Lonchura striata: one gene and its partner. The main gene of each other region encodes a partner of the protein of the gene in region 2 in a complex. Links are inferred from orthologs where the notes say so. Each region holds a gene or a part of one and is shown on either strand. Other genes may lie near its edges.

Region 1 (7,243 bases), on a different chromosome or scaffold from region 2:
CCAGATAAAATACCAGTGGTTTGATGAGACAAAGTACCAGAGTTGAGCAGTTCTACTAGACACTGCCAAAGGTTATTTTCTTTGGCCTTTACTGCAACACTGGTATTTCAGAGCAAAGTGATTAATCAAAGCACACTTACTGGTCTTTTTCCTTGCAAAGTCCTCAATGCACTTTATAAAAGGCACCATCAACTCTGAAAATTGTGTTATACTCCAACTTTTCAATTCTATTACAATAATGGTAGACTTACAATAGAAAACATACAAAGACCAGCTTTAGAAAGTAATTTTTTATAGAAAATCTATTTTTCAGGTTGTCTGCAGGTACTTTGGAAAGATTTCATATATAGCTGGTTCCCCTGCTGTTTAGATGTGTCTTTTACAAAGCAAAAAGAAAAAAGCATGTTAAAAACATAAAGCTGTAGGGTTACAATCCTATCATCCTCTTACTCCTAGAGCTTTTCCCTTTTAATGTGATGGTCTAAATAAGCATGGGAAATATTTCACAGTCTGGGAAAAATTATGTCTAAAGAAATAGAATGTATTAAAAAGAATCCTGTTTTCAGAGGATACCAAGTCCTCGCTTTACCCCAGGCAACACCATGTATGAAAGTACCTTCATGTCAGTAAGGGTATTCGAGGGCACAAAACCTCACAGGTGTTTAAGTGTTTTTGTAAGCACAAGGTGTTTTCAAGATAAGGAATAAATAAACTGCATGCTTGTGCTACTATTAGAATTTCTGCAAATGCAGAGACTCCAGGTGCTGATACTGTGTAAATCCTATCAGACTCACAGTGACATTGTCCCTACTCCAGCTTGTGCTGAGAGGAAAGCTGGATGTGAACAGAGTATTTGACTTATTACAGAGTCCCCCTTGTCTCAGAGTTTCTTTATGCAGTAACAATTATGACACTGCCTGCCCCTGCACAGGGAATTCAGTGGGATTATCTGGATTTCCTTGTGCTGGAGAAACCACTGCTCCGACAAACCACACAACTTCAGGTTCTCTGCAGTCTTTGGGACAAAGCAGGCCCCCAGCCTTCTCTAGGCCCTGAGCAGCCACACTAAGACCCCTGCCACTGGAATATCACATTTAAAACCCATCATGTAAACCAACCAACCTCATGAAAAATAGCTCCAGAGTATGGCGAGACCCCTAAATCCAGCAGGGCTAATCCTTCGACCACTGAAACAGACAAAATACCTGCATTAGAACCCTGTAATGTGGGAAGTGAGAGATCCCACGAGGATAAAACTGCAGTTTTCAAAATACTGACACTCTAAGAATCTCACGCAGCATGGATGACACCATACCTCCCAGGGCCAACAGCCAGCCAGAAGAAATTCAGCCCAGCTCTGCCGCACACGTTCCTGCACGGGCACTCATCACCTATTTATATGTTTCAGCCAAAAATGTTGGAAATGAAATCTTTTGCACTTAACTCTGTATAAATCACATGCATGGTATCTCCTCCTTTTGACTCACCTATTAAGTGACATATGGCATATATGCTGGAGAAATACTTAATTCCAAGAAGACAGCCATAACATAGTATAAAAGTTGAACTGGTTTGCCTCATTAGCTGTAGAGAGGCCTCAAACGTCCGAAATCACAAGGGAAGAACAGAAATGAACACATATTGCTAGGCAAAGCTAAAAGCTTTATCTCTCGTTGAAACTTCCTGCCATTTTATAACCTTAATTCAGCTCCTTTGTGCTCATGGAGTTACAGCTTGCTAGGCAATGTGTGTGTGTGCTTTACCATGGAAGCTCCACCCTCCTAAGCACAGAGGTTCCCTGGGACTGAGCAGTATGCAGTGAAAAGAAGCTAAGGGAAATGGTCCATTTGTTCAGAGGGAAACAGGCAGGACACTGCAGGAAAACACAAGAGGTGCTCAATTCAGTGTTACATAAATATTTCTATTAGAAATAGATTCTGGCTGCCATTAACTTCCTGTATGGTGACAGCCCAGACTTTTCAAGATGATCCCACCTTTTCCCTTTACTATCTAGATACCTACCTTGATGCTCTAAGGTGGTATTTAGAAAGATTCAATAGCACAGGAAGCATGAAGTGCTATATACTGTGGAGCAGAAGCCTCAAGTCACCAAATACACTTGTACTTTTGACCTTTATTACTTCTGGCCACTCTTTTCCACCCCAAAACTGCAAATAATTTTATCTGCATAATAACTGGATAACAAAGGGACATCTTTAAAATAAACTAAGGTTCCTAAGCCTCAGATGGCACACAGATGAACGTCACTGAAAAGCCCCGATAACCCAGGACCTTACTCAGCCTTCAGAAGAGAATGTAAATCGCCAACAATGTGTGGGGACACCAGCTGAGCAAGGGAAGTGAGCCGGGGCCCGTGCAGTGGCATTCTCACCGCGACACGGTGCCTGCGCAGGGACAGCGCAGCGCGCCCGGCCGAGGCCGATGCAGCCACACGCTCCGTGCTGGGCGGGTCACGCCCGTTTGTGTACGTGTGTGACACCACCGGTGTCCCCGGCCGTGGAGCACGACGCCCTGGCTCCAGCCCCGGCCTTCCCGGCCCCGGAGCCACCGAGCACCGGCTCCCATGGGCTCCTCCCGGGCACAGCTGCTCAGGGCCCTTTCGTGCAGCTCTACTTCGGGCCGGGAGAGCACGGCCCTGCCCTGCCCGGGGCGCGGCCGGGCGCTCTCCCCGCGGGGCCGCTGCTAGCCCGCCGCCCGCCCGGCTCGGGGGGTCCCGCCGCCCTGGCTCCTCCGCGCCGCCGCCGCGGGGCTCGGCCCGGCCAGCAGCGCCCCGGCCCGGGCTCGCCGGGCCTCACCTCGCTTCCAGGCGTTTAGCGGGGACGCCACCTCGACCCGCTCGGCGATGAAGACGGCGAGGCTGGAGCGGTAGAGCGCGGCGCGCACCGTCACGGCCGCCAGCACCACCAGCACCAAGGGGGCCGCCATCCCGGCGCGCGGTCCGCCGCTGCCGCCGGCTGTAGTTCCCGGGCGGCGCCGGGGAACACGCCGCCAACGAACCGGCCCGCCCGGGCAGACTACACGTCCCGGCAGCCCTCACACAGCCCTCTCCCGACACCACTCGCAACTACGGCGGCCGCGGAGGGGCCAAATTAGCAGGAGCGCGCTTGGCGTGGCCAGGCGGGGGTCCCGCTCCGAGCTGTCCCGTTCGGGTCCGCTTTGCCCAGGACGGCCACACGGGACAGCAGCTCCTCCGCCAGAGGACACGGATGTGTCTGTTCTCGAGGGGCATCGGCCTGACCACGGTCTATCCCTCCCGCCTGTGGATGCCAGGTGCCTCTGGATGGGAGCTCTGCCCAGCCGGGGCAAGGCCTGGCGGGCTGGGCCGGTCTCGGACGAGGAGTGTCGGTGGCTTCTGAGCTGTCTGGAAATCCCCTCAGACAATGCTTTATTTTTCAGGTATTTCACGGATGCCCATGGTATGTGCCTGCGCGTTTGCTGTGGCCATGGTGAGGGTCACGGCTGAGCGCTCGTGACCGTGTCTGGTTTCAGACGGCTCTTGGCTGACTCGGGTTCTCAGTCTATGTGGCTTCAACAGCTCCACAGCTTAAGAGCTCTGGGAAGACTTTCAATCACCTACCTTCCCAGCATGGACTTCCCTGTTCTCCAACAACCATTCCTCCATCCCCATCCCTGGGCACATGTGCAGCCCATTCACACAGTCTCACACAAAAATAGTCTTTATGACACTTCATCTGAATGGAGGCAAGTGGAAGGAAGACATTATAAACTCCTAAAAATTAGTGATAGTGTAAAAGGCATTTCATGTGGTATATGAAGACAGTAATTTTTCATGTAATTAAAACTAGGCTTTGCTGAATGTGCTGGTGTTGCCACTGAAAAGAGCTGGATAATATCCAAGAGAACCTTTTTTGGTTGGGTTTATTCAGCCTCTGAGCTGTAGATTAGAGTTGCACCTGCCTGCAGAAATGGAGAAAGGCTGAGTTCTGGGATGTGGTCCCTAAAGGCCCAGGTGACCCAGCATGTACTGTTCCCAGGACTGGAGAGACTGGTGGGGTTAGGTGGTCAGTCACATAAACTTTCTGGACCATGGATGGCTGCTTGGAACGTGAATCCCTTCATGCTACAAAACCACCTTCAGATGGTCCCTGGACTGTTTCCTACTATGCTCACTGCCTCACTGGGGTTCAGCTGCCTCCTTCACAGAGCTTCTCTCATCCACTGCCATGAGACAACAGAGCTGGTCCTGAGGCCATAAGGAGAGCTTCAGTGCTCAGCCTGTTTGTGACAGCTCCTCTGCTCTCAGCCTCTCTGGCACAAAGGTGTGGGTTTTGCTGGTAAAGCTGCTCTGAGAGTGTGGCTCTGGCTGGCCCTGGGATTTGATGGCCCCAGGACTGACCGAGCCTGGCACATCCTCTAATAAATCAGGGTGAATTCATTCAAGTTAATTTGTTTGTGCAAGCATCTGTAAATAGGAAGCCAGAAATGCTGATTCTTCTTTGCAGCTGTTCACAACAGTCTCTTGAGTTTTCTGATCATAAATGCTCTTTTTTGTGCACTGGTTCTCTCTAAATGACATTTCTGATCCAAAGTACTTGACAGCTGTTGCCTGTGACTGCTGCTTTGCTGAGTGACTGGCACACAGTAGTGTGGTTAAAGCTGCACTGCTCCAGGATGCTGATTTTGCCAGTCCGAGCTGTGCCATGTGCTGCCCAGCAGTGTCTGATGCAGCCCTGGGAAGATTCAGATAAACCCCAAGAGCAGCAGAATCAGATGTGGAATCATGCCACTACAGTTGTTCTGTGTATAAGTGGTTTGCAAAGCCAACAAAAAGGAAAGGTCAGAGAATAATTAATGACAAATGCAGTAATTCTTTCTGGAGCATGAGTTTGCTCCAGCATTTCTCCAAGAGGACATCCCAGGGCTAGCAATGGAGGGAAATTCCTAAACTAATTGACATATTCAGCCCTCTCAAAGCATCAAATACATCAGGCAAATATGAGAGGATTGACTCAACCCAGTTGCTATCTGATGGTCACTAATTTGGGGGGTTAGAGCTGCCTCAAGGAGGTGCAGTAAATACACACATGCTGTGGTGCTGTCTTTTGTCTGGCAGTGACTTCTGGAGCCACTCTCAGCCAAATGAGACAGAGGAGCAGACCTTTAAAACTCTTGGGGTTCCTGCCAGCTTATGGAAATCTAGGGAAGTTTCAGGAGACCCAGGCTGGGGTGGGCTTTGCACAGGCAATAGTTTGGGACCTGGCAGTGTTATTGTGCTGCTCCAAGTCAGCTGGTATGGCCAGCTGCTACCCCAGCATTGAAGGGGCAGACAGGGATGATACAGAACAGAGGAGAGAACTCAGGGCTGTCAGAGACTCATACTGAGCTGAATGGATCTTCCAGCAAGGAGCTGAAAGGACACAAACCAGAAAACTCTGAGAAAACTCTGGGTTGCTTGGTTAGTGCAGCAATTTTATTTTTTTTTCCAGAGGCGTAAACCTGATCTTCTGAGTCCTGGTATTTACCCCAAACTGATGGTAGTTTTTGCAGCATTTACTGGGGCATTTACTGGCTATCCTTTCTTCCTGAAATTCCTTGTCTCTGCAAGTGATTCGGTAGGAACATGCAGAGAGGGCTGGGTGTGCTAAGGCCTGGGAGCAGTTTGAGGAGCTGAGTTTGGGATCTCCTCCGTGGTGCCACGTGTGATAGTGGGGCTGTGGAACGGTTGTTGGTCCACACAGACAGCAGCAGATGCAGCTCTCAGGAGGACCTTCTGCTGTCCTACAGCCTCCAAGTGTTGTTGCCTTACTAAAAGAAGTAGATCTGGTGGAGCCAAACACACAATAGAGAGTTGCTGCTGCTGGAAGATCTGCGCTCCTTGATCGTGCTGCCCACACGAGGCACCCATGCAGAGGGCACAGGGGATGGATGAATTCAACCTGGGGATGTTGCATCACAGAACTTTCATAAAACACTCTGTTTAGCGCTGAGCCAGTTCAGGGATGATTCATCTTTGTTCCTGCAAACAGATGCTGGTTTGGGCACTTCTTGTGTGCCCTGCTGGAATTATGCAATGCAATGGCGACATTTTTTTGGGGTAAACAAGCCACTCCTTTTCCTGACTCACTGTACAAATTAGGTGTTCTGATTCCTGAGGTGTTGCAGCGCGCTGTGCGGGGCGTGCTGGGCGGCTGCGGCAGGGCCGCGACCGTCCCCCTGCGAGCTCTGCAATTCCCAGTTATCCACAGGGACAGAGCAGGGACAGACAGCCATGACACGGGGCTTGGTGTAGAACAAGATGGATTTATTCCTGGGCTCCCTGACAAGACTGGCGGGGGGTGAACAGAAGTTTTTATACAGCAACTCAGGAGGCGGGTGTAGGAAAGTGAACCAGTGAGGATATGGTAAGGGAGGAATATAAGGTGAGGCAAATAGCCTATGAGCCTATCAGGGAAAATGGTGGGGAGGGAAATAACACAAAGTAAGGAGTGGGGTATCGAGGACAATAAGACAGACACCAAACTCTCTGGAGAAAGGGGTAGGGATAGGAAGGATTGACAACTTGAAGGGAGGAAGTTAGGGAAGGGCTTGGGAAAATTGGCAGCTGGGTAAGGGAGGGGATTAGGGAGGAGAACAGGGGGCAAACATGTTTTCAAAGCAAAATACACCACAACATCTCCCTGTTTCTTTTTACAAAAGAGAGGAGAGTTCTGGGGTTCAAAATAAATTAATGAATCTGTTATATAACATATCATATCCACAATCTATCATAGAACAGATTTTAGCATATGAAAAATTATTACAGCAACAGAAAAGAATTCAGAAATTATCAGGAAAAAAATGGACTACTCATGACCATAACACATGGGGTAAGCATCTTCTTTGTGTAAGAAAATGAATATAAAATGCACAAAGTCATTATATACAGAATGGGGGTCGGGAGTAGGAATTGCAGTGGAATTGTCTTGAAGTAAGACTGGGCTTGAAGCAAGAATAACCAAGGAATCTGCAGAATCTGGCTTTCTGGTGTTTGAAAGTGATTTTGGAGGTCACTCCTCCTGTAGGATGTGATCAGCGAATGGAGATGTGGTCTTGCTCATTTTATTTTATGCAATGGTGGGTATTAACTGGACAGAGTGACTCCTCTCTCTATAATATATAACTTAACAAGCAGATTATTTTAAAGTATCAAGAATATAATGAACAATTTTTTAGTCAAGAAATTTAGTTGGAAACATGGGAAAATGGTTAAACGAAAATCAAC
Region 2 (7,563 bases):
GACCCCCAGGGCACCCCCATGGCACCCCCAGAATGGCAACGGCACCCCCAGGATGGCAACGGCACCCCGCGCCCACTGCGGTCACTGTGTCCATGCCCAGGGTCACCCGGATGGCGCCCACCCGGCCCGGGACCCCCCGACTGCATGCCTGGGGAGGGGGGCACACCTGAGACCCCCTGAGACCCCCAGGGCACCCCCAGAACGGCCACGGCACCCCCAGAATGGCAACGGCACCCCCAGGATGGCAACGGCACCCCCAGAACAGCCACGGGACCCCCAGAATGGCAACGGCACCCCCAGCGCCGCCTGGATGGCCCCACCCGGCCCGGGAGCCCCCCGACTGCATGCCTGGGGAGGGGGCACTGTGAGACCCCCTGAGACCCCCAGGGCACCCCCACGGGACCCCCAGAACAGCCACGGGACCCCCGTGGGACCCCCGTGCCCACTGCGGTCACCGTGTCCGTGCCCAGGGTCACTTGGGGGGCCCTGAGCCCTCCCAGCCCCTCCCAGGGCTCCCAGTCCCCCCCAGTGCTCCCAGTCTCACCAGTAAAGGTCCCAGCCCCTCCCAGTGCTCCCAGTCTCACCAGTAAGGGTCACACAGTGTCCCCCAGCCTGTCCCAGTGCTCCCAGTCTCACCAGTAAGGGTCCCAGCCTGTCTCCCAGTGCTCCCAGTCTCACCAGTAAGGGTCACACAGTGTCCCCCAGCCCCTCCCAGTGCTCCCAGTCTCACCAGTAAGGTTGACATCATGGTAGGCCTCCAGCCAGGCCTGTGTCCCCAGCAGGTCGTGCTCGGTCACCAGGAAGATGAGATCCTTGGCCCAGTACACCTGGCCTGGGAACCAGTACAAACCAGTATGGACCAGTACGGACCAGTATGGACCAGTACGGACCAGAATGGACCAGTACAGGCCAGTATGGACCAGTACAGCCCCAGGAAGATGAGATCTTTGGCCCAGTACACCTGGCCTAGGAACCAGTACAGACCAGTATGGACCAGTACGGACCAGTATGGACCAGTACGGACCAGTATGGACCAGTACAGCCCCAGGAAGATGAGATCTTTGGCCCAGTACACCTGGCCTGGGAAACCAGTATGGACCAGTACAGCCCAGTACCTCCCAGTACAGCTCCAGTACATCCCCTGAGCCCCCAGAGACCCCGAGCCCCAGCAGCGCCCCCGTACCCCCGTGCCCCACCTCGGCAGTAGCCCCCGGTACACCCGTAGCCCCCGGTACCCCCCGTACCCCCGTGCCCCCGTGCCCCACCTCGGCAGTAGCCCCCGGTACCCCCGGTACCCCCCGTGCCCCACCTCGGCAGTAGCCCCCGGTACCCCCGGTACCCCCCGTGCCCCACCTCGGCAGTAGCCCCCGGTACCCCCGGTACCCCCGGTACCCCCGTACCCCCGTGCCCCCCGTGCCCCCGTACCCCCGTGCCCCCGTGCCCCACCTCGGCAGTAGCCCCCCGTGCCCCCCGTACCCCCCATGCCCCCCGGTACCCCCCGGTACCCCCGTGCCCCCGTGCCCCCGTGCCCCCCCTCGGCAGTAGCCCCCCGTACCCCCCGTGCCCCCCGTACTCCCCGTGCCCCCCGTACCCCCGTGCCCCCCGGTACCCCCGTGCCCCACCTCGGCAGTAGCCCCCCGTACCCCCCGTACCCCCCGTACCCCCGTAGCCCCGTACCCCCGTGCCCCACCTCGGCAGTAGCCCCCCGTACCCCCCGTACCCCCCGTACCCCCGTAGCCCCGTGCCCCCGTGCCCCACCTCGGCAGTAGCCCGCCAGCGCCAGCAGCAGCCCCACGGCCTGGCTGTTCTTGCTGCCCTCGGAGCCGGGCACCAGCAGCAGCAGCGCCTCGGTGCTGGCGGCACGGGGGGCCCGCAGCACCCCGAAAACGTTGGTGCCCCGCACCAGCTGGGGAGGGACAGCGGGGTCAGCACCCCAAAACCCGAACAGGGACCCCAGGCATCCCCACAGCACCCCAAAACCTGAACAGGGACCCCAAAACCCATCCAGGGACCCCCAACATCCCCGCAGCACCCCGAAAACGTTGGTGCCCCGCACCAGCTGGGAGGGACAGCGGGGTCAGCACCCCAAACCTGAACAGGGACCCCAAAACCCACCCAGGGACCCCCAACATCCCCGCAGCACCCCAAACATCCCCACAGCACCCCAAACCCGAACAGGGACCCCAGACATCCCCATGGCACCCCAAAACCTGAACAGGGACCCCAAAACCCACCCAAGGACCTCAAACATCCCCACAGCACCCCAAACATCCCCACAGCACCCCAAACCCGAACAGAGACCCCAGACATCCCCATGGCACCCCAAAACCTGAACAGGGACCCCAAAACCCACCCAGGGACCCCCAACATCCCTGCAGCACCCCGAAAACGTTGGTGCCCCGCACCAGCTGGGAGGGACAGCGGGGTCAGCACCCCAAACATCCCCACGGCACCCCAAAACCTGAACAGGGACCCCAGACATCCCCACGGCACCCCAAAACCTGAACAAGGACCCCAAACCTGCCAGGGGACCCCAAACCCGCCCAGAGACCCCCCAGCAATCCTCAGGAAGGCTGGGACAGCGAGGGTTCCAGGGACCCCCACTGCCCTGGGGACCCCAAGTGCCACCAAGTGCTCCAGTGCCCCGTTCCCAGTGCTCCCAGTGCCCCGTTCCCAGTGCTCCCAGTGCCCCGTTCCCAGTATCCCCAGTGCTCCCAGTGCCCCGTTCCCAGTGCTCCCAGTCCCCCATTCCCAGTGCTCCCAGTGCCCCGTTCCCAGTGCTCCCAGTGCCCCATTCCCAGTGCTCCCAGTCCCCCCCTCCCCCGTTCCCAGTGCTCCCAGTCCCCCCTCCCCCGTTCCCAGTGCTCCCAGTGCTCCCAGTGCTCCCAGTACGTAGCGCTCGTGGGCCTCGTCGGGAAGGGGCAGCGTGCGGCTGAAGGGCTGGCGATGGACCTCGAGCCCCAGCTGGAACATGGTCTGCTCCAGCCACTCCACGGGCATGCCCTGAACAAAAAAATACGGGATAAAATGGATAAAAATGGGATTGGGATATCCCAAAGCATCCCCAGAGCCCACAGGTCTGCTCCAGCCACTCCACGGGCATGCCCCTAAATAAATAAATACGGGATAAAATGGATAAAAATGGGATTGGGATTGGGATTGGGATATCCCAAACCATCCCCAGAGCCCACAGGTCTGCTCCAGCCACTCCCACCGGGCATGCCCCTGAACAAAAAAATATGGGATAAAATGGATAAAAATGGGATTGGGATTGGGATTGGGATATCCCAAAGCATCCCCAAACCATCCCCAGAGCCCACAGGTCTGCTCCAGCCACTCCACGGGCATGCCCCTGAACAAAAAAATACAGGATAAAATGGATAAAAATGGGATTGGGATTGGGATTGGGATATCCCAAAGCATCCCCAAAGCCCACAGGTCTGCTCCAGCCACTCCACGGGCATGCCCCTGAACAAAAAAATATGGGATAAAATGGATAAAAATGGGATTGGGATTGGGATTGGGATTGGGATATCCCAAACCATCCCCAGAGCCCACAGGTCTGCTCCAGCCACTCCACAGGCATGCCCCAAAACAAATAAATAAATATGGGATTGGGATTGGGGCACCCCAAACCATCCCCCAAATCCCCTCTCCAGCCACTCCAAGCAGGAGTGGCAATGGAACTCCCCCAAACTCCTCCCAACCCCAAAGGCGTCACTCTGCTCTCCACTCATCCCCCAAAATTCCCTGGTGTGTTCCCCTCCCCAAATCCCCCAATCCACCCCCAAAACCAACCCCAAACACCCCGTTCTCACCCCGCTCTCCTCCTGTGCACCCCAAAATTCCCGGGTGTGTCTCCCCTCCCCAAACCCCAATCCCCCCGTTCTCACCCCGCTCTCCTCCTGTGCACCCCAAAGCCCCGGGTGTGTCCCCCCTCCCCAAACCTAACCCCAAACCCCACTCCAGGGTCTCACCTCGCTCTCCTCTTGTGCACCCCGAAGTCCCCGCTGTGTCCCCCTCCCCAAATCCCAATCGAAACCCCCCAAACCCCAATCCCAAATCCCTCGTTCTCATCCCACTCTCCTCTTGTGCCCCCCGAAGCCCCAGATGTGTTCCCCTCCCCAAAACCCCCAAATCCCAATCCCAAACCCAATCCCTCCGTTCTCACCCCGCTCTCCTCTTGTGCCCCCCAAAATTCCCGGGTGTGTCCCCCTCCCCAGACCCCCAAACCTCAATCCCCCTGTTCTCACCCCGCTCTCCTCTCGTGCGCCCCGAAGTCGCGGGTGTGTTCCCCGAACCCCCCAAATCCCAAATCCCAACCCCAAATCCCCCGTTTTCACCCCGCTCTCATCTTGTGCCCCTCAAAGTCACGGGTGTGTCTCCCTCCCCAACCCCAATCCCCCCGTTCTCACCCCGCTCTCCTCTTGTGCCCCCCAAAGTCGTGGGTATGTTCCCCAAACCCCCCAAATCCCAAATCCCAACCCCAATCCCCCCATTCTCACCCCACTCTCCTCTTGTGCGCCCCGAAGTCGCGGGGGTGTTCCCCAAACCCCCCAAGTCCCAATTCCAACCCCAATCCCCCCGTTCTCACCCCGCTCTCCTCTTGTGCGCCCCGAAGTCGCGGGTGTGTTCCCCAAACCCCCCAAATCCCAAACCCCAACCCCAATCCCTCTGTTCTCACCCCGCTCTCCTCTTGTGCGCCCCGAAGTCGCGGGCCAGGGCCAGGGCGCGGGGCCCGAGGTCGGAGCCCTCCCCCACCATGGTGGAGCCCATGGCGTTCTCGGACAGGTACGTGCGGGGAGCCAGGGCGGGCAGCAGCAGGAACCAGCCGAGCCCCGCCAGGTAACTGAGGATGCTGTGGGGGCACCCCAAAATCACCATTGGCACCCCAAAAATAACCCCAAAACCATCAGTGACACCCCCACCCTGCACAGGTACGTGCGGGGAGCCAGGGCGGGCAGCAGCAGGAACCAGCTGAGCCCCGCCAGGTAACTGAGGATGCTGTGGGGGCACCCCAAAACCATCAGTGACACCCCAAAGTCACCATCGGCACCCCAAACCCACCCCTAACCCAGCCCTGACACCCCCACCCTGCACAGGTACGTGCGGGGAGCCAGGGCGGGCAGCAGCAGGAACCAGCCGAGCCCCGCCAGGTAACTGAGGATGCTGTGGGGGCACCCCAAAATCCCCATTGGCACCCCAAAAATAACCCCAAAACCATCAGTGACACCCCAAACCCAGCCCTGACACGCCCACCCTGCACAGGTACGTGCGGGGAGCCAGGGCGGGCAGCAGCAGGAACCAGCCGAGCCCCGCCAGGTAACTGAGGATGCTGCGGGGGGCACCCCAAAATCACCATCGGCACCCCAAAATCACCATCGGCACCCCAAAGATAACCCCATAACCATCAGTGACACCCCCACCCTGCACAGGTACATGCAGGGAGCCAGGGCGGGCAGCAGCAGGAACCAGCCAAGCCCCGCCAGGTAACTGAGGATGCTGTGGGGGCACCCCAAAACCATCAGTGACACCCCAAAGATAACCCCAAAACCATCAGTGACACCCCAAAGATAACCCCATAACCATCAGTGACACCCCAAAGTCACCATCGGCACCCCAAAAATAACCCCAAAACCATCAGTGACACTCCAAACCCAGCCCTGACACCCCCCCCCAGAGGTTTTGGGGTCTCCCCAGGTTTTGGGGTCCCCCCCACTCACCAGAGGGGTTGTTCGGGTCCCCCCCAGGGTTTTGGGGTCCCCCCAGGTTTTGGGATCCCCCCACTCACCAGAGGGGGGTGTTGAGGTCCCCCCCAGGGTTTTGGGGTCCCCCCCGGTTTCGGGGTCCCCCCCACTCACCAGAGGGGGGTGTTGGGGTCCCCCCCAGAGGTTTTGGGGTCCCCCCCGGTTTCGGGGTCCCCCCCACTCACCAGAGGGGGGTGTTGGGGTCCCCCCCAGGGTTTTGGGGTCCCCCCGGTTTCGGGGTCCCCCCCACTCACCAGAGGGGGGTGTTGAGGCGCAGCAGCAGCCGGGCCAGTGCCCGCCGGCACTGCGGGTCCGACAGCAGCCCCATGGCAGGGGGACCGGGCTGTGGGGACCCCAAAACAGCGCTGAGACCCCAAAACCCCACTGAGACCCCACTGAGACCCCAAAGCCCCACTGAGACCCCAAAACCCCACTGAGACCCCACTGAGACCCCAAAGCCCCACTGAGACCCAAAAACCCCACTGAGACCCCACAGAGACCCCAAAGTCCCACTGAGACCCCCCTGAGACCCCAAAACCCCACTGAGACCCCACAGAGACCCCAAAACAGCGCTGAGACCCCAAAACCCCACTGAGACCCCACTGAGACCCCAAAACAGCGCTGAGACCCCAAAACCCCACTGAGACCCTACTGAGACCCCAAAGCCCCACTGAGACCCAAAAACCCCCCTGAGACCCCAAAACCCCACTGAGACCCCACTGAGACCCCAAAACAGCGCTGAGACCCAAAAACCCCACTGAGACCCCAAAACCCCACTGAGACCCCACTGAGACCCCAAAACAGCGCTGAGACCCCAAAACCCACAGGGACCCAAAATCCCACTGAGACCCCATAGAGACCCCAAACCCCACTGAGACCCCAAAACCCACTGAGACCCCATAGAGACCCCAAAACCCCACTGAGACCCCAAAACCCACTGAGACCCCAAAACCCCACTGAGACCCCACTGAGACCCCAAACCCCACTGAGACCCCAAAACCCCACTGAGACCCCACTGAGACCCCAAACCCCACTGAGACCCCAAAACCCACAGGGACCCCAAAATCCCACAGAGCCCCCAACCCCTCCTCACCCAACGGACACCCCAAATCCCCTCCCCACCCCACGAACACCCCAAATCCCTTCACAGACACCCCAAATGCCCTCCCCACCCCAAACCTCCTCACGGACACCCCAAATCCACTCCCCACCCCAATTCCCTCACAGACACCCCAAATATCCTCAGACACCCCAAATCCCCTCCCCACCCCAAATTCCCTCACAGACACCCCAATTCCCTCACAGACACCCCAATTCTCCTCACGGACACCCCAATTCTCCTCACGGACACCCCAAAACTCATCAAGGACACCCCAATTCCCTCACAGACACCCCAATTCCCTCACAGACACCCCAAACCCCCCTCCCCAGACACCCCAAATCCCCTCCCCACCCCAATTTTCCTCACGGACACCCCAATTCCCTCACAGACACCCCAAATCCACTCCCCACCCCACGGACACCCCAATTCCCTCACAGACACCCCAAATCTCCTCAGACACCCCAAATCCCCTCCCCACCCCAAATCCCCCTCAGGCCCTGCCCTCCCCCACGCCCCTACACCGCGCTCCCCGCATCCCACACGGGCCTGGCCCGGCCCTTCCCCTGCCCCGCAGCCCCTGCGCCCTCGGGGCCCCCCGGAGTGCCCCAAACCCCCGAAATGCCCCGAAATGCCCCAAAATGCCCCAAAATGCCCCAAACCCCCGAACCTGCGGGGCACGGCCGGGCCAGGCCGCTCAATCGCTGCCGGAGCGCG

The links.
Region 1: the proteins of GPAA1 (region 2) and PIGU are in contact, whole or in part, in a cryo-EM structure (PDB 8IMX), measured with the Homo sapiens proteins. The link is inferred for Lonchura striata from reciprocal best matches to the Homo sapiens genes GPAA1 and PIGU. Residues at the interface, in NP_003792.1 of Homo sapiens: Gln245, Leu310, Arg311, Arg313, Phe358, Leu359, Ile371, Ala389, Leu390, Trp393, His397, Leu500, Ile504, Leu508, Cys512, Leu515, Thr516; in NP_536724.1 of Homo sapiens: Tyr349, Ile355, Phe356, Cys360, Ile363, Val364, Leu367, Leu368, Val371, Leu372, Leu375, Ile377, Tyr378, Ala379, Gly380, Ser381, Phe386.

What each region holds. Positions count from the first base shown.
Region 1 is NC_134619.1:14,259,751-14,266,993, reverse strand, and holds the start of PIGU (GPI-anchor transamidase component PIGU), read right to left. Parts: upstream 3,016-7,243; 5' UTR 2,947-3,015; coding exon 2,817-2,946; intron 1,188-2,816; coding exon 1,123-1,187; intron 1-1,122. UniProt on the Homo sapiens protein: Component of the glycosylphosphatidylinositol-anchor (GPI-anchor) transamidase (GPI-T) complex that catalyzes the formation of the linkage between a proprotein and a GPI-anchor and participates in GPI anchored protein biosynthesis.
Region 2 is NC_134603.1:829,534-837,096, reverse strand, and holds the start of GPAA1 (GPI-anchor transamidase component GPAA1), read right to left. Parts: upstream 3,001-7,563; coding exon 2,893-3,000; intron 1,907-2,892; coding exon 1,759-1,906; intron 967-1,758; coding exon 907-966; intron 833-906; coding exon 731-832; intron 1-730. UniProt on the Homo sapiens protein: Component of the glycosylphosphatidylinositol-anchor (GPI-anchor) transamidase (GPI-T) complex that catalyzes the formation of the linkage between a proprotein and a GPI-anchor and participates in GPI anchored protein biosynthesis. Binds GPI-anchor.